Drosophila melanogaster: one gene and its partner. The protein of the gene in region 2 purifies or fractionates together with the protein of the main gene of each other region. This does not show direct contact. Each region holds a gene or a part of one and is shown on either strand. Other genes may lie near its edges.

Region 1 (12,884 bases), on a different chromosome or scaffold from region 2:
TCGTAGAAGTGTTTCAGCGTGGCCGTGAACTTCTGCTGTGTCTCGATGAAGCTGTCCGTGAAGAGCTTGGTGCGCACACTGAGCGTCTCGTGGAGCTGGTTCTCCTTCTTGAAGGAATTAAGTGTCTTGCGGTAGAACTCCCGCACATTATTTTGCGATCGAATGTCTGTTTGCGTGTTGGCCAGCTCCACTTGCGTCTGGGTTCCGGCTCCGGCCGCCTCAGCCAGCAGGGCCAGCACCAGTTTGACGGAGAACGGCGAGATGATCACATTCTTGTCGGCTGTCTCGTTCTGCAGCACCGTCTTCAGTAGATGCCATGAGAACGGATCGTGCGAGTCGCTCCGGAAGGGCACAAAGGTATCTATATCGTCGTAGATACCCGCTCCACTGGGCACGCTGGCAGCGCCACCGGGCAGCTTGTCCGTACGGGTTTCGAATACGCCCTGGGGCGTCGTGGTCGTCGGTATGGAGTTGCCGTTGCCCGTGGCTAACGCACTCAAAAACAGCGACAGCAGCATCACTGCCAAATTTCCGCCCATCTTTGTCATCTGTGCTTCCCTAAGCTTCTGCGTCTCGATCTTCCTCGGGTCTTTGCTTTCAGCCTCTTATTCGCAGCAAAACAACTGTTAAATGCGGGCTTTGGTGGGGCGAGCGGCGAGAGAGCGCCGGTGGAGCGAGCGATAACCGTTTCACGCGCCGTTCCAACTGAGAGTGACTGGTGCGCCGAGCGGGCTGGCCATTTTAAAATCGAGCTCCAGCTTCAAGCCGCTCTTGACGCCGTCCTCTGCTGCTGTGCTGCCGCGTCGACGGGGCAGCGCATGTGTGTTTTTTTTGTTGGGACTCCCAAAGCATACGTACGTCATTATCGCAAAGTGATGAGTGTGGTTAAGTGATGAGGGAAGTGAAGGGAAACGACTAGACTATACAGTGCATCAGTGCACTCAGAGAATTTCCATGCCTGTATTGACAGGATTAACCAAAAAACCTATACAAATATTTAAGGATCATTCATCATTATGAATGTTATTTTGTTATTTTGTACAAATTAGTTGCGAACAATATCCGCCTTTATTAGGCTTTCCCCACTTCAGCTATTTGTGAATTATTGCATAGTCATCAAAGAGGAAAGTTTGCAAATGTTATTATTCTTAAACTACGTCACAGTTTCTTTCACGCCCGCTGCAAATACTCAAGCCAGTTTATGAATAGCTATTAATAGAAATTTGAATTTCAAATAAGCTTAAGTTGTGTCGGGGATAGTCTGGCCACGCTGACAACTATTATAGAACTCAGTGTTGGTAAGTGTCGGCTAAACAAAACAGCTGATCTGAAATAAATTCTCATGGTGCGTTGATGTAACAGCAGCCGGCGAAAGAAACTTGTGCATTTAATGAGAAATAAATATAAATAGCCAAAGTAACCGCACGTGCCATGCAAATTCGTCGTCCGCGTGGTGTCACTGTTCCGCAATTGATGGTGGTCACGGCCATTGGGCTGCTAGGCGGTATTTACATTTGGCAACCGCTGATTTTGAAGTACAAAAACGAGAAGAAAACCGAGGCAGAAACGCCAGCAGTAACTGAAACTAGTGGAACCACAAAGTTAGCCCGCACACTAAACCCTAATCTGCTGGCTAAAGTCATATATTAATTGAATTCCGTTCTCGCCCACAGATGAGTTTCATTAACGGCTTCAAAAGATTCGCCACAACGACGGTTGGTCTGATGGCCATCGGTATTGGATCGACTGTTATATTCTACACCACCCATCGCCTTGTCATCAAACCCTATCTTCTCGAGAAACGACGCCTGGAAGCCGAGGCCAGTGCGGAGTACCTCTTCCAGCAGGAGGTTCACTCCCAGATTGGCGAGTCAAGACCCAAACGGAGCGAATATTGAGCCAAGGCTGCCAGTGCCGTCATAGACATCTTTACATACTTATAGCCTAGTGATTAGTTACCAAATTTCAACGCTGTAACATGGTGAACAATGAATGGACTTTTACTTTCTTACCTTCACTTTGGGTGGAGAGGCCCATCTTCTTGTGTTCATTTTAGAGTTAAACAGAATGGATTTTTTATGAAAGTAATATGAATTGAATAAATAATGAAAAGCACAAATGGTTTGAATAAAAGACTAGAAACATAAACAATTAAAAATCACTGTGCTCTGTTCACCGTATGCCTTTGTACAGGCTCAGGGAGCTGCACTTGTCCTTGGCCTTTTGCTCTTGCTTTCTCAATATCGCCTCGCGCTTATAGGTGGGAAAGAAGTTCCACAGCGAAAAGGTGTCGTCCAGTCCGCCGGTGGCAATTTTCGTTCCATCCGGATTCCACATCAGGAAGAGGGTGCCGCGATCCTGATGGGACATCAAGTCAACCACGCGGTTTAAGGAGGCCAAGACCAGAATTTCGCACACTGCAAGGTCCGCATCATCTGTAGATATTAGAATACATTATTTTTAGCAAGCATTAAGGATCCAGTGCAGTTCTCACCACGCCGAATAACGTTGACCAGCAACTCGCCCGTGATTTTGCTGTATGTTAGTGTCTTTATAACGATTCTGTCATCCCTGCGCCTGTACGAAGCCACAAATTGTCGGCGCGGGATGTTGAATATGAAGATCGACGCAGGGCTTCGCTCCGCTGTTAAGATAATATTCATGTTGCAGATACTCTAATAATTAATCTGCCACTATCTTACCAACGGCTAAATCCTCTCCAGTCCACGGATGCCAGTCAAAGACTATGGACCTGCCGTCCAACTTGAGCAGGCGAACCTTTAGCACCGCATCGAAGATGAAAATCTTGCCATCCGTATCACTGGATGCGAAATACTTATGGGTGGGAGCAAACTTCATTTTCTTCACCGTGTGTCGATGCTCGCGCAACTGCATCAGGGTGTTTAGCGTGGGCATGGCCAGCACGATGATGACGCCGCACTGAGTGCCGCAGATGACCTCTTTGCCGTCGTGGGACCACTCAATGCAACTTATGTAGCCCATGGACTTGAAGAACAGCTTGCGGTAGGAGACCAAGAACTCCGTAGGCGACCTCACCTCCCAGAGGTCCAGAACTTGTACGAAAGAGGAGGGTTAGGGCTTTACAAAGTTATTGCTTAGGGTCTGTTATACCTGGATAGTTTCTATCCATGCAGCCGATTGCCAGGTGCTTGCCATCCGGCGAGTACTTGAGGGAAGTGGGCGACTCGACGCTGAAGACCATGGTGCTCTCGTCCAGATTGCGCCACAGCATGACATCCTGTCCGGAGGACATGGCCACCATGCCGCCGGACGACCAGTCCATCATGTTGTAGTCGACGGGACTGCATATGCCAGGCATCTCATGGGTGGCATTCTGAATGGCATATGGTCGCGCCCGTGGATTACATGGCCAGTCCGAATCGGCGGAGTCGTTATCGACCACCCTGGATCTTGTGCCCTGCTGGCTGCTAAACTGAAACAGGCGGCGCTCTCCGATGCCAAAGGTTCGGTTGATGTTCGATATGAAGCCGCTCTGTCGCCAGTAGCTGGCGGTCAAAGTGACACCCTGATTGTAAAAGTCATTTTCAATTAATAATGGAAAGTATATATAGCCAGAAGTACTGCACACACCGTTTCGAGGATATCTCGCTCCTTCCGCTTGCCAATGTACTTCAGGTTGAACTCGATGTTCTCCCGCTCAAATCGGTTGGGTATGAATCTTTCGCCGACATAGGACACCTCCTGCCCCTTGCTCGTATCACTCTGCGCGAAAAGAAAACTACGTTTAGGTGGTCAAATTGTTTTGAGGCCCATCATCTTACCTTGTAGGCCGCCTCCTGTTTCCAGTTTTTCCGCCGCACCTTTTTGAAGGGCGTCAGAGACTTTTTGTCCAGCTTGGAATTTTTATTGGGACTGTCACACACACTCATCTCGACGAACATTGAAACATTTCTGTTTTGCTAGCGCCATATTAAATTGGCAACGGATCAAAAAAAACTTACAGTTACAAGTACAGTGAACACTCGATAGGAGTGCATTTGGTCTTCTTTAATGTTTGCCATTTAAAGTGTGGAGTTTATACTTCTCGATGCTTTACATGAAGATGTTTTAAAATTCAAGTTAAGATGTTGCTTTAAATTATTTATTTTCTACCTTGAAATCATTTAGTTAATAAAGCGGACTACTGTTATTCTAGTATCAAAATCTATAGTACATGTCGCGGACATAATGATTAACCAATGGAGCGTCTTATTGGAGTTGTCCATAGGTTGCCGCAGGAGGGGCAAATATCGCGTCTCTGCAAGTAGGTTTGGATGCACCCGCGGTGGTACTGGATGTTGCAGGACCCGCAGCGAATGTCCCACAACACCAGGCACTTGCACAGCGTGCAGTTTTTTATGTTATCGGCGTGGTTCGAGCTCAAATAGAAACTGAGCTCGACGAGGCTACGTGGACCTAGGTAGATTCTGTCGGTCACCTCCATGAAGTAGCCCATTTGGATCCACTTCTGGAGCAGCTCCTGCATGCGGCTCTTCTTCAACGGCTTCGAGCTGGCCTGTAGGACGATATCATTGTAGGCGTCATTCCAGGCGATGTGGCAGTCCTCCTCGGAGGCGATCTTGTCCAGCAGTTTCGAAAAGTACTGACACTCCTCGGCAGTGAGCCCGGTGTTGGCCACGCTGTCCGGCGTAGCGTCCGTCTTGGCGTAAACCAGGTACTCCTCGGCCTTGACCGGATACTTGATGAAGACCAGCAACTGGCCCAAGTCGCTGATGGTGTCATTAATCTCCGCCACCAGTGCCCTAATCGCCTCCTTGCTGCCGGGCTTTGTAGTCTTGTGGTTGGCACATAGCGGGGCCAGGATATCATCGATCAGCTCGAAGCTGAGGTAGCTGTGGTTCTTGCACGCACGCAGGAACCCGCGTTTCACCAACTCCATTGCCAATGACTGAATATGTTTCAAAACAAATCCAAATATACACAATTCGATTCCGAAGCGCGCCGTTGCAGTGTGCCCAGCTATGCTGACGGGCGGTCAACTTCGGTCACACTATTTTTAAAAATCAATCGATGTTTTTTCAGATCTCCGATTTTAAAATCACTCGCACTATTTTTTGGCTTAATGAAGTTTAAATTTATCATACTTTCGGTGCCCCTAAAAAGAAATGCCCATCTATAATTCCTTTCTTTCTGCTTTGTTTCCATTAAAAAATTTAGCAATTATTAATTTTTTATTTATTTATTTTGGTTTTGACTTAAAAATTAACAGCACAACAATTAATATTTTCAGAGAGCTTCGCTTTGTTTTAAATACAGCGTATATATAGTAAGAAATAGGAGGGTCCTAGGTAATATCGGAAAATGTTATAGATCAGCAAGTGAATCAGCTTTGAAACTTAAAAACTAAACCGAATACAATTAGTCCGTTTTCGAAACGATATATTTACACTAACTGGCTTAGAACGAAAAAGCTATAAGTTTATGTTGTGTAAAATACATCAAAAATGAAATAGTATATGTTTGCCTGCGCCTGTGCCTTATAACTTTTTCCCGTAAAATCCTAAGAGCCGGATTCTCGTCGACACCGGACTTTGGACATGCTCCAGAATCTCCATCTGAATATAATATGGTTTGTGGTTTTCGGGCGATTACAATATACATGTTAGCACATTTTTCGATGTCGAATAGATAAGAAGAAGGAAATATGTCCATAAGTATGCGATTAAACTTTTGCTAGGCCATTCAATTTGGCTTGTGTATATATATATATATTTATGTATTTAGGAAAAACTAGGTAAATTGCAGAGGCAAGTTCTAAAAATAATAGAATCAAAGAGGCTATATATGCATGTAATTTATCGTGTTATAAGGTATGGTACTAGTGTACGTTAGCTCGATGATAGAAATCATTTTTATAGCTTCTGTGCCCTTACTGATCTTAAATAGTTGCACAACAACTTTCAGATTTGTGTTTATTACTAGAGTTCCGAATCACATTTCCATAAACAAGGATAAACTGAAAAGTAATATTCTAATTTGTACAGTTTTCACATTTTCGATTTCAGTTGAGACCAATTCAATAAATAACAAAAGAAAACTAAGAACTTATTGAACTTATATGTAAGCATTTCGATGATCGCCTCCAACCTAAAAGCAAACAAAATCATTAACAAAAAATTGAAAACACTGGGACTTTGAAAATTAATATGAAGTAATGGTGAATTTTCGACTTGAGATGCGCTTTTATGTACAATAGGCGTTAGGAAAATGAGGAAATCAACTGCAATTTAATTTGTACTTACATGGTTAGTCGCGTGTTAGAATCTAAGAAATAAGATTATGAGGAAAAATACAGAAATTAAAAGTGAACAATATAAACAAACATTCCTGACTGCTGTGCTCTAAGAAGCTTTGGTTAATCAGATTTCAATTTCACTGGCTCGTGGCTAAGTTAATCATGTCTGGGTCTCCGTCTGTGCTTCGTTACAATGGGTTTACCAAGGAAAAGTAGACAGAATCGAACAAAATATTATAAATAACAAAAATAAATCAAATACAAAAATAGATAGGGTCCACTCTTTGGATTACATGAAATTGTTAGCAACCAGGCTGAGTTCGTTTGCAAGGTGATTGGCTTCGTTCAAGTGAACAGACTTTAGGAATTACCAATGACCGTTGGTTGACATGGATTATTGTTTTTTTTTTTTTTTTAGGATGAATGCAGTTTGTAATTAGTTGTTGGAGTTGTTGGTATTGTTGTTAGAGCAACCAAAGTTAAATTGATAGAGTCCGCATGAGTTTGTTAGATGATTGATTGATTGTTTGATCGATTGGTCGAAGGAAAGACAGAAAGAAAGAAAGATGCCGCATAAATCAATAAATAAATTAGATCATCGCCGAGAGAGTTGTTACATTTTGGTTACATAAGTATATTTGGTAAGCATGCATTTAGTAGTAGTTAACAGTCAAAACAATATTACATAGGTGTTATAGTATACTGGAAATCGTTTGCCGTCGCACAAACTTAAACAATTAGTCAACCATACTGAAGGGTGTAACTTATCCATCACTTCCGCTTATACCACAAAATTTAACATTAAAATTATACAAAAGCAAAAGATCGCTAAACAAAAAAACATTTTCACGGCCAATTCATACAATAATACGTCTACTTTGCCAAAGTCTCTGTGGTGTAGATTCATTTGGATTTTAGTTTAGTTTAGTTTTTTTTTGAGGTTTTTCGTTTCTTTGTTAGTGGCCAGCTTGCTACGCTTAGATTAGTCTTTGGTGTCTGGGGTGCTTCGCTCATTCGGTTATTCAATATTTCGGTAGCTAGCAAGTAGATGGTGATTATCGGCGGTGTACTTAATACTTACGCGACTCAGGGAGTTCCGACGCCCCACGCCTGGTGCCGCTCCGGACCCATCCTGACTGAGACCGTTCCCGGTATCATTGTCTATGCAAATGTCCGAGTCCGAGTCCACGCGTCTGAACTCGCTTCCATCCTGAAATGAGTCCGAGTCGATCAGGATTCTGTCGTCCTCTTGCTGAACTGCACAACTCACCTGCGTTAGTTGCTGTGTGGTGGTGAGCAGTCTGGCAATGGGATTGCAGCAAACGGGCAGCGTCTCCAGCAAAGTGGGTCGCGAGTGCGTCAGTAAGGGCTTCATGTACCTTTGAGTAGAAAGCAGCAGCCTTGAGAGAAATCCAAATACCGATTGCTTTTTGGCACTCACTTGGTATCAAAGTTTCCCCAGATCCTAGCAAGAATGGCCTTCTCGTGGCTGTTGCGCCGGCGACCGCCGCTTGCTCCGCCCAAACTGCCATTCGTACCATCGACGGGCGTGTCCAAGTTCGTATCTGTTCCACCGGACAAGCGCATCTTGTTGCGATTAACGCCACCGCCCTCCACATCCTGCAAATAACCATCAGACTAACACAGAGTTCTATTAAATTATATTAGCTCTACTTTTCACAGGCTTCCAATCAAATTAAAAATGGAAAGTAAGAAAATTATTTAAAACCACGGAAATGCATTGAATGATCATTGGCAAAACCTACCGTCTGTGGATGTGAATTGTCCATTGAATTGTAAACCTTTTTTAGCAAATGGTTTTATGTATTAAGGTGCGCAGAAATGTATAAATAAACAAAATCGTGAGTTAAAAATTATTCTTTGAAAAGAATGGAAAAGAGAAATTTGATATTGAGCAATGTGTTTGCAGACACCATGCTTTTGGGAAAATACCTTTTCTTATCCCTTAATTAACAACCTATACTAATCTTTCGGCAAAATTCGGTCTAAGCACGTATATATACGTGATATTTTGTACTTACACTGTGCACTTGATAGTTATTGAGTTGTTCAGTCTCATCGTCCACGCCAACGCTGCAAGCGAGACAGAGTTTGTGACAATGAAGCAAAACCATTTAAATGTACGTCACATGCACTCACGGTATTTTCAACCAATTAAGCAGGAAATTTGCAGCCCCACCCTGAATTACAACCGTAAAGATGACAATCAGCGATGTGGCAGTCAGCATCGTCTGTCGTTCGTCCGACACTGTATTTCGGATGGCCAAGGCAAAGGACATGGCGCCACGAAGTCCTGTAATATAATATATATGCGTTAAAGAAAATACATGGCACATTATATATAAAAACTTGCCAGCAAAGAACAACATATGCTGAAAGTTTGTGGAAATTTTCGGCTTTCGCTTTATGTTCAGCAGCCAGGACAAGGGATACACATTCACCGCCCTTCCAATGGCAGCGCAAATCTGTGAAAAAAAGAAAAATAACTTTCTGTTTGGGAACGCCTTTTTAAGTATTTCTATGCTGAAAATAACTTACAAAAGCTGTTATAATGAAACCGGCGTCAAAATGATGCTTGGGAAAGGTGAACATCGATACGCCAATGTAGGAAAAGATAAAATTCTCGGCTAGAAAGTTCAGGAGCTCGAATATCTGTTTTGTCCTTTGGCGCGAGTCCTCCGACAAGTTGTTGTACGTGTAGTGAGCCTGGCAGATGCCGCAGAAGAGCACGGCCACCACACCAGTAAGTTCCGTAGCCTCAGCCAGCAGGAAGGTGCTGTAGCTCATGAGCACGAAGAGCGCGGATTCTAGCAAAGGAAAGTCTCGAACCCGAGTAAATTTGGTCATGTGCGGTGGGAGTTAAGGAAGTCATTAGCATAGGTGTTTTCTAATTAATGCGGAATAGATATACATCTTCAATGCCACTTTGAGGTAACAAAAATTAACTCAAATTTTACCATTCACATGTATACTGCCCTTAAATAAAATAATTTATCATTAATCTTTGAAAAGGATATCAATGCTGTCAAGCATCCCATGGCCGCGCCAATCATCAGGGATAGTAAGAAGATGGAGAAGAAATCGCTCAACGAGCGTAGAAAAGCTGTAGTTTCGAATTCCCCGGTATTGGAATAGTGTTCACCATAATTTTGAATGGCTCTATAAAGAAATGATGTCTTACTGATTCCCAACGAAAAAAAAAGTAGCAAACTTACCCACTAAGGACTATGGCCACGGCATCGTTGAGCACAGATTCGCCCAAGACTAGCGCATATAGGTTTACGTCGACCCTAAGATCGTTGAATATGGCTAGAATGGTGAGCGGATCTGTGGGCGATATCAGAGCTCCAAAGTATAAGGAGTCCAGGAATGTGAAACTGCTACTCAAGTACTTTGGCATCAGTTTCACACAGCCGTACATGAAGCCTCCGATTAGGAAGGCCGACAAAGTCGTGCCCACAATGGCAAACGTAAGTATGGCACCCAAGTTGCGAAAGAAGTATTTCTGCAAAAGCCAAATATATCTCGGTAAATTTTTTTCAATACAATTGGCGGCTCAATGAACTTACCTTTTTCAAGCTATAGCCCGCATAAAAGATAATTGGGGGCAGGATAATATTGAAAAATACCTCCGGATCGAACGTTGCCTTAAGATCGATTTCGTTCTCATCCACATCGTGTACCTGTCCTCGAAACACGTAGGCATACGTCTTGATTCCCTCTGGCGGCTTTGTGCCATTTGTTTGATTAACGGGGTACTAAAATTAAAACCAAATTGTAATATATTTACATATATTCGTTCTGGCCATTAATGATTTACCCTAAACCAAAGAGTATCAGGCGGCAATTTATCGCTGTACGTTGGAACTCCCTGAGGCTCCACCTGCATGTGGACCAGGGTGGCGGAGGTGCCGGCATATCGTATAATTGCACCCACAATCAAGCCTGAAATGGGGTAAACACATTAGTTTTGGCTATTGCTGCAGTTGGGATCGAAAATAAGTTGAATTGTAATGTAATTTTACCGGGTCTTAAATGAAATAAAGCTAGTATGACTGTTTTCTGGACTGACCTATCGCAAAGCAAGGGTGTGACTAATAGCCGCTTAGAAAAATGCTTAGTCAAGCCATATCAAGCCTTATCAACTAAGCAACCACTCAACAGGTTCATAATTCGCAGACGGAATCAGTGTTTTATGTTCACGCCGATAAACAAATTTGTGGGGATGATTAATCGTGGTGCGCATAACAAAATGCTTTCACTGGCCCTGCCGGACGAATGCTAAATAATCTTTTCCAGTTTACACCAGAGCTGGGCTTTGTCGACGCCCAGGCCAACCAGTTTTATTGAATTGTTTCATTAGCTTCAATTAGTCGAACGAAATCTTGTTTGCTCTTTTATTGCTGCACATAAACGAAATTGTTAGAATAACAAAGTACTCGGCAGATTGCCGCGATCATGAACGAGCAGTGAAAATACATTCGGTCGGAAAACCCCAATGATATTGACTGACTAAGCAAGTCAAGGTCTCGTATACAATATCTTTGCCGCAATGCATTAGCTCTGCTGTCGTTGCGTGCAGGTTCTTTCACGGATATTGATGTTACTTCTACCCCGGGGTGGCTTTTACTGCCTCCCATATGTGCGCACGTAATGTCACGGTTGGCGTGGACAAAGGCGTAATTCGAAATTGGTGACAACAAAGAGGTAGCAATGAATGTGGCAGGTGACCGATAATCAAGTCTTTCGAGCTAAGGGAAACATGGCCAAAAGGGAAAGCTGCCCGCGTTACCAACGTACCGTAGATGACGGCCAATCCCGTCTCGTGGAGCCAGGAGACGCGATGGTGTTTGAAAAGCCAAATTGTGAGCACTGTGAGCGCCAGCAGGAACACGAAGACTAGAAGGTCCAGGCTCTGGATGCGGTGATTGAGCGTGGCCTTGGCGTCCAGAGCGATGTCAGTGTCCGTGGCGCTGCATCCAGGCGCGAGGACGCACAATGCAAATCCGACTATGAGCAGCATGCTGCTCCGCCAGCACTGTAGCTTCCAGAATGTCTGCGACCTTGGGTGACTTCCTGCGTCCCCATGAATACGGTGGGGCGATGTCATCTCTACCTCGGGGTCCACATCGCCGTGGGACATACTTTCTTCAGTTTCTTCCTGCGCCTGCAGCCGAAATCGATTTTCGCGTTATGTTTCACGGGTTGGGGGGGTGGTGGTGGAGGTGATGGTGCTAGAAGCGCGGAGCAGGACGACCACGCTCAGGCGGCGCCAGGGGAGTGTGTGGACCTCCTTTCGCTTGGATATTGAATGTGCCGCACAGCCGTTACATAAAATTAAAGGGTCCAAAAAGAGCTTTCAAAATTTCACAGCAGCGCACTCCGCTAAAAAAACAGTTTGTTCGTTCATATGGAAACAACCGTATGCGACTGCAGTGTGACCGCACGCTAGCACGCGAAAAAATATTGCCTTTGAACAGGAGCGGTTCAGTAAAGATATTTGTATTCAATATAATAGTTATGTAAAACTAAAACTTGCAATAATCCCAAACTATTTTCCAAGTAAAAACTATTATTCCGGGAATTGCGTCAAATTAGCCTTTTCATTTATTAATTTTCTTTCCCGTCGTCTAGTACTAGTCCCGCCGACCAGTCTCTCCGTGTCCCACCGACATAGTTAGATCTGTAAGTTCGTATCATTGCTATTTTTCACGATTCCTCTATACATTCAAAAAAAAAAAAATAAATAAAAAATTCCCCATGTTTAGAATTCCGCCGTTCCTCCATCGGTAATTATTCCGGGAAAACAGTAAACGGGCAGGTGCAGTTTCCGGTTATCGATAACCGTTACCCTGCCCTAGCCAACAAGAGTATGACCTGACAAAGGCGCCACCTAGCGCTCGTTTCAAAAAGAATGTTAAGTAATTGGCGCTTTAATTCAAATATACATACAAATTATACAAATTACAAACAGTGCGGCCGTGATATTGTGGATATTTATTTGGAAAATAGATATTTAAAGCAACCCAACTATGCCAATGCGTCGGGCGATTTTGAAGTGTTTCCTAAGATATACCGTAGTGAAACGTATGCTCTCGCAAGTTCGCATTATCCAATTTGCATTTCTAGAATAGTGAACTTCTACTCCTTGCGAATTATATAGACCAAACTGAAAGCCAAGCTGCAGAACAATATGGGATAGCTAAGCTTAAGGATTCTGTGGTTGACTAGACGCCTCAAGAAACTCAAGGGCTTGCCAGTTTGTTTTAGGTCCGGATCCGTTTCCTCCTCCATATCGATTTCCGCCTCCGGGCCCGTCAGCGTCTCCCTTTCTTCCGCTTGCTCACTTTCTATCAAGTCTGGAGCTGTTTCAACTTCGCTATTCTCTTCTATTCTGGCCTGCAAAAGTTGGCGCATTAGGTGCACATTGTACTCCGGATCAAATAGTTCATCCAAAGTAACCATCTCGCGACCGTTTTGCACCGACCCATCTAGTGAGGGATGGTCGGCCAGTTCCGGGACCGAGTCAATGCACACAATCTCATCCGCCGTTGGATGAAACATGGGCTCCAATGTTTCAGGGTAT
Region 2 (12,909 bases):
TCTGTGGAATCGGAGGAAGTTCAGCCGCCCGTGACCGCTCCGAAAGCTGCTACCCCCCCACCGGCTGCCAACTCCAGCAGTGACTTTAAGCGGGAGATTACGAATGCGGATGGGAGCAAGGACATTTGGTACCCAAACGGCAATCTAAAAAAGATAAGCGCCGATGGCATGAACTTGCGCATGCTCTATTTCAACAAGGATATCAAGGAAACTAACATCAGGGAAGGCACAGTGAAGTATTACTACGCTGAGACCAACACTTGGCACACCTCCTACCTAGATGGCTTGGAAATACTCGAGTTTCCCAACGGGCAGACGGAACATCGCCGCAAGGATGGCACTGTTGAGATTCACTTTCCCAACAACAGCATTAAGATTGTGGATCCCAGCGATACGGAGAAACTGGAGGAGTGGCGTTATGCGGATGGAACCCATCTAGTGCAGCTCCGGAATGGTGACAAGATTCTCAATCTGCCCAATGGCCAAAAGGAGATTCACACCAAACTAAACAAGCGAAGGGAGTATCCGGACGGCACTGTGAAGCTAGTGTATCCGGATGGCAGCCAAGAGACGCGCTACTCCAACGGCCGCGTTCGTTTGAAGGACAAGGATGGCAAGCTCATAATGGACACAGACTATGCCAAGTATTAGAGTCGGGTCTCTGCTTCCGTTGTTAAGTAAATTAACTTAAGTTTTAGATAAATAGAAAAGACGTGCTATTTTTAAAAGATCATCGTAATATTCTTTTCTTGCTGATAAATGGGAAATTGGCTCTATTTTAGATTATTATATATATTGTTTGGTTTTCAATTTGTTAGATCAAATGTAGTAAATTATTCATAGAATGGTATTCTACTCCGCGTTTACTCCTTCTTGGGCCATGGAGAGGTGATGGCCGAAGACCTTGGGATGCTGATTGAGCAGCTTGGAGGCGAATTGCACCATTTGCTCGAATGTGAACTCCGCCTTGGCACGTGGTCCCCAAAGGAAGAAAGTCTTGGAATCATCGTAAGCACTTAGCTGTGAGCGTTCCCGCTTCAGATATTGTTGCTTCACAAACGTCTCCTCGATCTGTTTGCGCAGATTGGGGCCGAAGTAGCCATGTTCTTCGTCTGGATAGATGTTGAGCATCTCCAGCATAACGTACAGTTTCGAGTCCTCGATGCGGTTGCCGCGCAGGAAGATGTACATGAGAATAATATACAGCAGCGTGAACTGCGGCCGTTGAGCCGGCGTCAGCTCGTGAATGGAGGCCACCGGCTCCTCCGCAGTGCAGATGAACGTCTTGGTGGTCGCGTCCAGTGGGGTTAGTATTATACCGAATGTTTCGGCCAGCAGATTAGTGACCAGCGGCAGGCGTTTCTTCAGTTCGCTCTTGTCCCCAGCCACCGCTATCAAATCCTTGTCCTTTATGGGAATCTTCTGGGCGGTATGATCAAGGATGTAGTTTAGAATGGCGCGAACCTTGGCGTCGACCACATCGACGGGTTGTTGCGCTTCCTGCGAGGGGATGGCATTCTGGCTCCTAGCTGCGCGAGAAGTGCTAGCCATTTCGAGTTAATTTGATTAACAAGCTCCCAATTTATCAAATTTATTTGATTATTTAAAATGCAACTCAACAAGAATGCAGCGAACATATGTTTTTTTTCGCACTTTTGAAAGTGTACAAGCCTGGCGTTGCCAGATCAGAGTTAAAAAACGAGACCTGTTTTCAGTATTAAAATACCAAATGGGCGCGCAAATTATATTAATTCAAAATCATTACTCTGACAATAAAATCTTCGAACCCTTATTATGGTCTTTACCAATCCTTTTCTCTCGCATCCTTTTTCACTTGGTTGCCTATTATATGCACTTTCAAGTGCAAATGGCCACTCATTGGTCTCGTTTGAACGCACAAACTGGGCCAAGAGCCGCTGAAGTACCTACTCTTGTGGGTTTGTATTGATTGATTTCCTTTTGCTGCCGCCTTTTTCCTCTGTTACATTTAACAATCAGTATGAAATTTGCGCTGCAGCGAAACGTTTGCTAAATAAATATCATTCGAGCATTTATCGAGCAGCTAAGCAGTGGGTAACGCACTTTGCATAAAAATTGCCATAGCAGCCTCAGGAGGTGATGTGTTTTTAATTAAAATGGCCAAAACGACGCGACGTGCAGCAGCAGGAAGCAAACAACTTTCAAAACTAAACGCGAATGACATGCACGGTCAACATTCCCCACGGAGACTCAAAATAAACAGAGACCGAGTCAAACAAAACGAAATGGAAATGGAAATGCATTTCGCGCAGCAGACACACGCGCCGAAGTGCACTTCCAGACGCTGCAGAATTACATGGCCAAACATATTTTATTGCCTTGAAATGTGTGTTTTAGGTGGCGATGGCGGTGGCTGTATCTCTGCGGTGAAAACTAGTTACCTGCGTCTGCGCAAAGTGCGCGATCCATAAGTGATAAATGTACAGGCGGAAGGCAGACAAAAGTTGCCTGGCCAGGCGGCAAGCTTTAATTGATTCGCCATTGTTCCGGCTTGAACAAAAGCAGAATATCGGAGTTCAGATTGTTAAAGACAGCCTTTGTGGCCGCCTGAAATGGATATCCGCCGCGTTCTGCAATTGATTCTGCTTGACCAGTGACTGTAATAGCACCGAAATTTGCATCCCAGCAAGTGAAATTACTCAAGATTGTAAATCTCGCAAAACGGCGGCTGAGTGAGTCAACAAAACGCACTGTCAACGCGAAGCGTTAGACTTTCTACACACAAGCAAACAGTTTTGCTTTCAAAATGCGCATTGTAACGTTGGAGTTTGTCAACTCCAGCCCTAAAGTTTTTTTATGGCCGGCTAATTGTAGCCAGACGGTGTTGGAGAAATGTCTCATTTACTAAAAAGAAAGTCAAGGTCTTTGCTGAGCGACGTGAGCGGCAAACTTGCTATGCAGCCTGGCTTTTAAAGGCCATTAAAAATTAGCAAATGACATGAGCATGCCATTTAGAATTTTCATGATAAACAAAATCCCATGACCAGCCAATAGAGTAACGACAACGGGTTTCGCAGCTCACCGCGGTGGCAAAAACTATTAATAAATTAATAACAGAATCACAAGAGGCAGCAGACAAAAAATGTGTGCACAAAAAAGAAAGCCAATATTGGAATGAGGAATGTGTGGAGTTTAATGCTCTATATGATCGGGATTAATTGTTTTTAAGTGGCTTGCTCTTTGAGATTTATCATTTCGAATATCTTAAGGAGCTAAAAGTTTTTTATTGCGAAAATAATATGAATGAAAATAAAAAGTGAAAAATGAATAAATAATATTACATTTAAAATTCAGAAAAATGGAAGGCACCATTAAATGGAAATTACGCTAATATAAATACATCTTTTGATATTCTTAAAGTTGTATTTTAAAAAAATGTGTTGCAAACATTCAAATTAGTCTTTCGTTTTGATAAGAAAAACGCTGATAAATGGCATAGTTTCGCAAACATAAATCTCTTATCTTGTAGTTTTTTAAAGATTCCTTCTTTTCATGTTCCCAGCTTCTCTGGCTAAAAATATTTTAATTTATTCTTCAGCAAATCGAATGTTTTATTTCCCTATACAAGTATATAAGTTTGTTCTTACAACCTCTTTCAGTGAGCAGATAACCCCGTTTCGGTCGCAATGGAATGGAATCGAGAATATAGAAACAATAGCCGGCTGTTGTTGCCTCAGTCTGGTTGCGTGCCGTTCTTAAAAGTGGACTGCCTTCAGCGGAGCGGTTCGGCATTCTTGTCCAGCAGCTGCCGCTCGTGGTCGATCTGGCTGATCAGCTTTGGCCCGGGACCGGCACTTCGATTAGATTATGATTTGCTCCTCTCTCAGAACGACTCAGCTATCCGCTAAATGTCAATGGGGCTCACAATTACAAAAGCGCGCTAAGCTGAACGTAGCTGTGAGCGAGTAGAGTTTAGTTCTCAAATAAAAGACTTGGACAACAAACTTGTTCGGCTTAATTAAGAGGTCAAATTGCTAAACTCAGGCCATGGATCAAAACGAAGCTGCTATTTGACCTTTTACACTTAATAAATTTCGATGCAAACTAGACGCCGGCCACTGATAATCAAATTAAACGCTTATCAGATAGTTTGCCAAATGGCTGCAACAATCGTCGCAATTAAAGTCGAACAAATGATCAGTGAATTGACTTCACTTGGGGGCCAAGTTCACTCGTGCATGCCTAATCGCGTATACGCACCGTGTGACGACATCGACTTGCGGGTTGTCTAGTACACGGTTTTCAGTCGAATAAAAAATGGCTGAAGTCAAAGCGGATCTAAGTTTTACGCATATTCGTAGTGGGAAAATATGGGATTTTATTGCTCTATGGCGGTGGATGTCGTGCAAGTTAAACAATTCTAAGATTCCACTTGTGTGAAATAGAAATTCGTTTATTGAAATTACTAAAATTTAATATAATTTAAATAAGATATTCACTGCTAAATATTTTTCAAGGCCGTTGTATTTTTTTTATTGTTTATTGTATTTTGTGTCTTTGCATTTTCTGTGGTCTTCAACTTGATCTTTTCGCTGCGTTTGAGTTTCGCCTTCGTGTGTTTTTATTGCTCTCGAGATTCACAATCTCTCGTTTGGCCGGCCATTCTAAAGTGCTTATTAATTTTATAGCCCGTGATTCGATGACTTTGAAGTGGGCCAGCATATACATAAGCTACAACTGAAACCCACATCCCCATAACGTTTATATAAACATTTAATAATTATTAATTACATTGAAGTGGCCATGCCGTTTTGTAAACAATTAAGCTATAAGTTCAGCGTCTGGGGCCGTACAAGTTGGTCAAAACTAATGGTGTTTCGGCTGACGCTTGAAAAATGCCCATCTAATGAGTCACTTTAGGTACCCAAAGTGATTGGGGTAATTCTCTACGCCGGCCAAATGCTAAATAGTTTACTTAGTATCCGGTGCCGTCTTGAAACTAATAAAATGTCAAGTCTTAGGTTTTTCTCGAACACACGTTTTCGGTGACGTTTTCGCCTTGCGAAGGTCGATCGGCAGCTTTTTGCAAGTGTATCACATGAACCGAAATGTGAATCACATTTTCGAATTTAGTATGCAGTCGACGACTTTGTCGCAAAGGCCTTGAGCTCCGCACAATTTGCATGAGAGAGTGCCAGAAACAATAATGTCCAATAAATTGTTGCATAAATCGCAGCCAGCTTCCTGTGCGAAAAACTTTCACAAGCCATTCGCCGAAAGGCAGAAATTTGTAATAATTATTATCGAGCTTGGTGTCATGTTATACATGCATCAATTTAATGGCTTTTGCAACGCCGAAAAACTACGATTTTCCAACTCAAACGATCGTGAGAAGATCTGCACTCTGAAGTCATGGTCATGGTCAAATGGACCATGATTGACAAGCCAAGCGACTTGGTTTATGTTTATTTATTTTTTGGTGCTTTTAAGCATTTCAAGTTCTCTATTAAAAATAAAGTTGAAAGTGCAGTGAGAAAGTAAAAATTTATTTCTATATAATTAATTTCATATAGTTACATTTTATATATTTAAAAGTATCCTTTGTGCATCCCAACTTTATAACTATACAAATAGACAAGTCAAACCTAAATCAAAACTTCCATGGAATGCTATAAGTTCACGAAAAAATAATGTTGATTTTTATTATGAAATAAATATGCGACTCTTAAGCTACTTATTTTATCCCTAATTTCAATTTATGTTTTCTAAACGAAACACGAACGTGTCCATAAAATCTCTGAAGGCCAAAGAAATAAATTCCCTGAGCAAAACCTTTTGAGTCACGAGTCGAATATTCAAAGAAATTCTGTTTAAACAATTTAAATCCCGAGCAAGAAGATTATGCAGCATACGTATACATATATGATGTCATGTCTTCGAAATGAAGTTTCGGTTATTTTTGAGCTTGAGCCTGGCTTGGTTTTCAGCTTGTTTATCAGCATCTGGGTATCGTTTCGGCCTCTTTGAACGCATTTCATTAGCGGCCATATATGTATATATATATATGTATCGTATATATGAACTTATATGCACATAATATGGGTATAGTTGTCTGAGCGGTGTCTGCATTCACAACCGGTGTGGCTGTCTTCGCACCGGCTCGCCTTTTGTTTGTTTTGTTTGTATGAAACATATTAAACATATAGTCGCATATGTATCTCTCCAGCGGTCTCTCAGCCCGTCTGCAATGCATTTAAATGCAGTTTGTGTATATATATTTATTATACGCTGCATGTGCATGCTTTACTTTTACTTTCATATGCAACTGGTTGCTGGCAGCCAAAATGGGGAAGTGCTGTCAGTCCGAGTGTGGGCCTCGTTTCTCTCAGTGTGCGCGTTGTTTTTCTTGCTGTTCCCGGCTGCAATGAAAACAGTTTGTAAAGTGATTGTCAATCATTTTTGGTGGCATGTCGCTTAACCGCTTTGACAATAAACGGCAACAGCAATAGCAACACAATGGCAGCTGCTACACTTTTTGCTGGTTTTAAGCCACGTTCGTTGGCCACATTAATTGTACTTGCATTGACTAAATTAGGCTGCTGTAGTGTTTTCTACACCCAAAATTTACTTTGTAGATTTCGGCTTAATTGTTGTAATCCCTTATTTAATAAGAGCACTTGTGAATGGATGAGAAAATGCGAACTATCGGTACAATAAATCCCATCACGGCAATTAACGACAGACCAATGCATTGGTCCACTGTGCAATGATACCAATCCGCACAGCTTTCAAATAAATAAATGTGGGTATATTACTTATCACTCTGCCTGCCTTAATTCATTTGACTTTAATCATCCAATAATAAACACTAAAATGTAGATCAAACAAAGAAACCCGAAAATTGAGCCAAATATATTGACGTAATATCAAGCAAGTTTCGGTGCAGAGCAAATTGGTTAAATGCCTTTTGTGAACAAATAAGGAAAAATGAGCCAATTTAATGCGCACTGACTTGACTTCATTTTACTCGGTGTCGCTGCCTTTTGAAACAGTCCCAAATTCGAGATTAACTGGAAAGAGATTTCGTCTGGTTTCATGGCCTTAGTTTGGCCAACTCTCTTCGACTTTTATCATGAGATTTTTTCTTTTTTTGATGTGTAACACCACGAATGAAGACATTACCAACGAACAGCAGGTGGAAAAAACGAACTGTGAAAACTTGGCCCCTCGCAATGGCATCCGAAAAATTCATTTTTCGCGTTTTTATATAATGTGGATATGGCTTTTCGCTAATTTCGAATTTAATTTCGAGTTTCTATGTAGATTGTACTCATAATTAAGCCAATTACTATTGAACAACTTTCGCTGCTCTTCGTCTGCGCTATCGCATTGCATGCGATTGGGTAAATCAAATCACACAAGTATCAGGTTTACCAGGTCCCATTCCAACGATGCAAGGAAGTGGGTGCTTAGGTCTGTGGCCATTTGGTAGCTAGATAATTGGCTATCAGTGGAAGACCCATTGGTAGTATGCAACTTTGGAATTTTTTACAACACTTCTAGTCTTCTTTTCTTTTGCTTAATTTATATTTCTTAATTTTTAATTCTTAATTCCTAATGCTTTAGTATTCATATGTTGTGCATTTTATGCAAAAGACACTACTTGTAGTTTCCGTTTTCTTGCAGCGTTCTTTTCCTTTGCATACATTGAGAAATGCTCCATTCAAAAACTGTGAGCATAAACTGAAGTTGCATTGTTATTATTATTATCTTTTTATGTTCGCCTGTATTTTATTAGCATTAGCATTAGCGGCTTCTCAATGACGGTGCGATAAGCCCCAGACAAAATATATGTATGTATAAACAAAGGGAGACAATGCAACTTTGGCCGTGTTTGTGCAACACCAAAAAAAGCGCATTTCTGCATTATTCTCTGATGTTTGCACGTTAATGTATGCAACCACAAGAGCAGCCCCAATAACATAGAAACTGTGTGCACATTTGATACTTTTTGACGTCTGCGAGCAGAGAGTTGAGAGTTGAGTTGGATATGATTTGATTTGATTAGATTTGAGTTCTTCAGACACACATTTCCTTTTTAATGACGGTTGGCCAACTTGCTGCCATTGATGTGTGATGACGGTTTCTGGGCGCGTCTCGCATCCCAAGTGGAGAATTGATATTTGCATCGATGGCATTTGATGGCGGTGGATCAGTCAGTGATCGGTGGATTTATGAATTTGGGAGCAGCTCCGCAGATAAGGCCTTCGGAATGGCGGTTATTTGGGTTTGCTAATAGATATTGGAATTTCATGAATCTTTCTAGTTTTATTTAATATTTCGGGTATCGCAGTAAAAATAACTTTTATGTAGTTATATATACATATATCGTACTTTCCTCTATAGAAACCGATTTGACCTCGACTAGTTTTTGGGTTTTAATAGCGTCGGCGTACTTATCTTATCTCTAGTTTTACTTATCCCAAAGTAATTGGTTAAATATTATTAGAACACCAAACATTTAGGGATTATAGTAATTATTTCACATAATATAATATAATATAGTACTAATGCTATCCTTATACTAATCATTTTTATCACTCACGAGTGTTCAATGTACCCTACAATAGGGGTGATAAGGTATCACCTTATCACTTATCATTTCACTCTTTCGAAGTAGCATAGAATTTCTTTATTTAATCATATTTACGAAAGCTGTAAATGGGATTAATCTCTTAGTGCCGCTGTGACCCCAAGCATCCCTGACTCATGAACACTCTGGATCTACGAGTATGGAGATGCAGGGCCGCTAATACGAATCTACGCTTGTGCTCTTTCAAAAAGTCAGACAAAGAAGTCGAGGAAGAAAGAAACCGAAGGTAGGCGTAATCGGAACGATGAATGCCAACTCGGCTTGGCCTGGGTTTTTCAATGGGATTGAGTTTTTCGCCATCCAATTGGACAGTCCAAATAGATCGCGCTGAGTTCACTTGTCAAGGAATCGACTATTGCAGTTGCCTTGCCAAATTGAAAAAAAAAAACTCCGTCTTTGAGTCTTGTGTATGCATCATGGTCGTCTTGTTTCGAATCCAACGACTTCTAGAGAGGGCCTTTCGCTCACTACACCCACACTGGCAGACAGCAACAGCCTAGACACACCTGAGTGTGGGTGAGAGCGAGCATTCAACCACGGGGTAATGGTAATGGGTATTATGTATTACGTGCACGGTCTCACCTGTTGCGCTCAGCTGACGCGCGAGAAGGAGCCAGCCAGATGAGAGCCAACTAAGAGTTGGCCGGAGAGCAACAGCAAACCAGTTACATGTTGGCAGCCTGCAGATGCAGACCGTGGTGAGTTGGCAACGCTACCAGCCAAGATCCGTGCCGCCGGAGAGATCAGTTGGTGGTCGTGCTTGAGACGGAGCGGTTGGCCGAGTGCGATCGCATTACTTTGCGAACGATTTATATATACATATAAACCGCGCTGCCCACAAACGTGGCCAGATAAGAGGAGATATATACCAATACCTATACCTATTTCTCGCCGGGTTGGTGCTAATCTTCGTTTTAAGCGTGCCTGCGTGTGTGTGCGGTTGTGATTTATGCAAATCTTTGCTTTCTTATTAAACAAACACAAGATCTGGTAGTGAAATAAACGGCCCAGCAGAAGAAAAGAGAACCACGACCGAAAACATTCCATTGGAAATACCGAAAACACGTTTTCTCCCTCCAGCTCCGAATCGCTTGTTCGCTGTTTGCTTTCTGCCATTTGCCATTTCTACAAAAAAGGAGTGAGAGTGAAATGTGAAATGCGAAATGTCAGTGCAAATAGCTATCAACTTTTACAATGACATCACTAGATGTTAGCCAAAAGAAATATTAACAATTGCCAGCAGATATGGAATAAATAGAACCGCACGCTGTCTAATTGCCTTCGTACCAATATGGCCAAAAAGGCGTGCAGCAAATTCTGCGGTCTGCAGCCGTTTTCAGTTGCAGTTTCTGCTGCTGCCGTTGGAACCGGTTGAAATATTTTGCTATCGCAATTTGGGTCTAGGGTTTTTTGTTGCTGGCGTTGCATTGTAGCGAGTTGCATGAGCATCGACTGCCTTGCATATAAACAGTATATCTTTTTTTAGAGCCCAATTGGCAGCCTTTGTTTTTGGCAAGCTGGTTTATTTGCCTAGTTTCTGATTTGAATGGTGAGAAGTAAACATTGTGCTGGCGGCGTAGTCTTAAAAAAATGAAAGATATTTATGAGCTGCTCTAGGCTTAGGTACAGAAGTTGTAAATCTAAATGAAATATGCTAAATAGGGTTTACGTATCGTAAATCTACATAGGTTTTCAAAAATTCGGACACATTCAAAACTATGCGAAACTTTATAAAACAAAAGACTTGGGAAACGAACTTGCGTGAGTGGCATCGAAGATGTTTACGCTTTCACACTTAAATTGGTCATTACATAAATGTGTGACATAGGAAATGCTTTAGATATGCGGCGTATTTGGAAAAATTAGCTAATACTTTTATTTCGTAGCTTAATTAACTCACATATTATTTTTGATTGATTGAGTCAAGAGTAAGCCACCCCTATTTTCAAGCTAACAACTTTCCAATTTCCGCGTAGGGCGACCTAACAAATCACTCAACAAATCGGCTGGCAAAATATAGACTTGAGTTGACACTTGAGAGATCGTTATTCAACCGACTTTCAACGGAAATGACAGCATTTGGGGTTACCAAAGCGAGTCAATGACAAATAACAGAAACCGCTGCCACAGATGTCGTGTGAACTAAAATAACCGCATAAGAAAATCCCGCACCCCAAAAGAGAAAACTAAATAATAACTAGTGAACAAAAGTAGGTAATGAGTTATCGAGACCCTTCGAAACGTTTAAAAGTGCATGTAATTTATTTAATTCCATATTTATAGCAGATTACTATAAATTAACAATAACAAGTGCAAACGTGTGAGAAAAATCAAAGAGGAAAAGCCAAAAAGACGGAGCACAAACATAAACCAAAATGCAAACGTGTAGAAGAAGAAAAGCCTCCGGCGGCCAATCCACGATCAAGTGGAGTAGAATGTGCCTGGCCACTCTCTGCGGATTACTTTTGCTTGGCATTCAAATTGAGCGTGCGGCGTCTGCGCCCGCAGGCGAAGACGCAGCGGCCACAACGATGCCACCTTTGGATACCACAACAGATGCCCCAGACGCCGTTGCAGCCACCACCACTCCAGCCACAACTGCCGCAGAACAAAGCAGCAGCATCAGCAGCATAACCACCGAGGCGGCGGATGGTTCAACGACTTCCACGACGACAACAACTGAGGCGGCCAACAAATCCAATGCGACCGAAACTGGTGAGTCCAAGCCGAAAGCCATGAAAATTATAGATAGACGGCATCTACGCGACGACGCTCGCATAGCTGGGGCATCTCATCCCGATCTCCGGCCAGACACTTTAATCCCGCCTAGCCGCGCTGTGCTCTCTGCGCCGTAATCAAATCTCGTTCTCTGAGCCACCAATTAACGCCGTGCCGGTGCGTGACTTCTGGTCCGCCCTTTTTTTTACCCATTTCGTTTCGATTTGTACGGCATTTCTCCATAATTATTTTCCGATTCGGTTAAATGGAGCGAACAAGAGAAATTGTTTGACTATTAATGGATGGAAGAATATTTGAAGATATACATAAGCGGTTTCCTGTTGAATTACTTAGTTAATTACGCGGCATATTAAAGGGAAAATATTAAAATTTCCGGCCCTCAAGCTCAATCTCGGAAACCAATTATACGAGAAATTATTATTCGTGCTAGAACAAGTGAATGAACTTAATTAAATCTTAATATATTCTACTCGTACTACACCCAAGATACTCAAGATAAATTGAATTATACTTCTATTTCGATACAATTGATACTTAATATAAAATAAAAAATAATAAATCAGATTAGATTTTTTTTTTTTTTTTTGTAATTCTGTTGAATGAACACATTCACATTTAGGTTATTAGGATAACTGGAGAAATTCGTTTAACCAGATCACCTGAGATGGAATGATTAACTTTCACACACGTACCTTTTGCAAAATAGATTAATCGGGCAATTCCATTGCCGAGTTCTTGGCTGTAACAGATTTATAATTATCTAGAAGGTTGTTTGGGCTTAATGTCAGTTGCACACCAAACTCTTCACGAGGCAAGCACTCCGTCGTAAAAACTTCAATTGGTTTTTCATTGTTTTGATACTATTCCATCTAGATTCATTGATGACTCGATAAAACGAGGTCTAGCAGGCCACACACAGGTCTAGATCGATTGAGCATAGGTTGTTGCCATGGCAAGTGGGAATGCATTGTTTAAAAGGGACTGGCCTTTTTTAGCCGGTCTAAATGCCACGGGAAGTTAATGAGATTTAACAGCAAACATTGGGATGGTGGTAAGGTAAGCCTTCACAAATTACTCAATTTAAATGCAAAGCAGCCAACTGTCATGACTCATGCCCTTAACCTACGTAGTCCGTACCATAATCTTGGAGTTAACTTTGTTAAATTTTGGGTGTTAACTTTGTACAGAAACACGGAATGTCTTTTCGCGGGGGCTAATTATATAAGTATGTGCCCAGGAAATTAGCTAAGAGAGATAAATAGCAATTAGTCATTGACAGATGTGATAAATGAAACACCTACAAACTTGGAGAAGAAACCGCACCTGATTACATTTTAAAATGGGTATTTCAAGTGATGCAAACTCTTATTTTGCCAGGCGTTGAGTGGGTAGCTAGTGGATTGAGGATTTGGATTTTATAATTAAAACAAGCACATATGTATTAGCAAATCAATTATTGGGCAAGACTTTAGACAGTTGATAAACTGGTTTCGTGTTATAATTACAGTTACCGAAGCAATAAATATAGAAATAAAGCT

The links.
Region 1: the proteins of MAGE (region 2) and Nse1 purify together in Drosophila melanogaster (affinity purification with western blotting, with the first as the bait; one study listed by BioGRID). This does not show direct contact.

What each region holds. Positions count from the first base shown.
Region 1 is NT_033779.5:6,672,628-6,685,511, forward strand, and holds Nse1 (Non-SMC element 1), read right to left. Parts: upstream 4,999-12,884; 5' UTR 4,922-4,998; coding exon 4,214-4,921; 3' UTR 4,022-4,213; downstream 1-4,021. Other genes in the region: cup, read left to right, coding at 1,674-1,687; Spn27A (serpin 27A), read right to left, coding at 1-548; CG34310 (uncharacterized protein), read left to right, coding at 1,432-1,601, 1,679-1,898; cort (cortex), read right to left, coding at 2,173-2,435, 2,495-2,644, 2,703-3,074, 3,133-3,547, 3,613-3,744, 3,804-3,923; Nhe3 (Na[+]/H[+] hydrogen exchanger 3), read right to left, coding at 6,567-6,635, 7,359-7,487, 7,548-7,656, 7,719-7,915, 8,044-8,079, 8,320-8,371, 8,438-8,591, 8,652-8,763 and 6 more; CG11327 (uncharacterized protein), read right to left, coding at 12,440-12,884. UniProt on the Drosophila melanogaster protein: Component of the SMC5-SMC6 complex, a complex involved in repair of DNA double-strand breaks by homologous recombination. The complex may promote sister chromatid homologous recombination by recruiting the SMC1-SMC3 cohesin complex to double-strand breaks.
Region 2 is NT_033777.3:7,153,514-7,166,422, forward strand, and holds MAGE (MAGE), read right to left. Parts: upstream 1,668-12,909; 5' UTR 1,552-1,667; coding exon 853-1,551; 3' UTR 725-852; downstream 1-724. Other genes in the region: Sas-4 (spindle assembly abnormal 4), read left to right, coding at 1-651; sas (stranded at second), read left to right, coding at 11,008-11,347.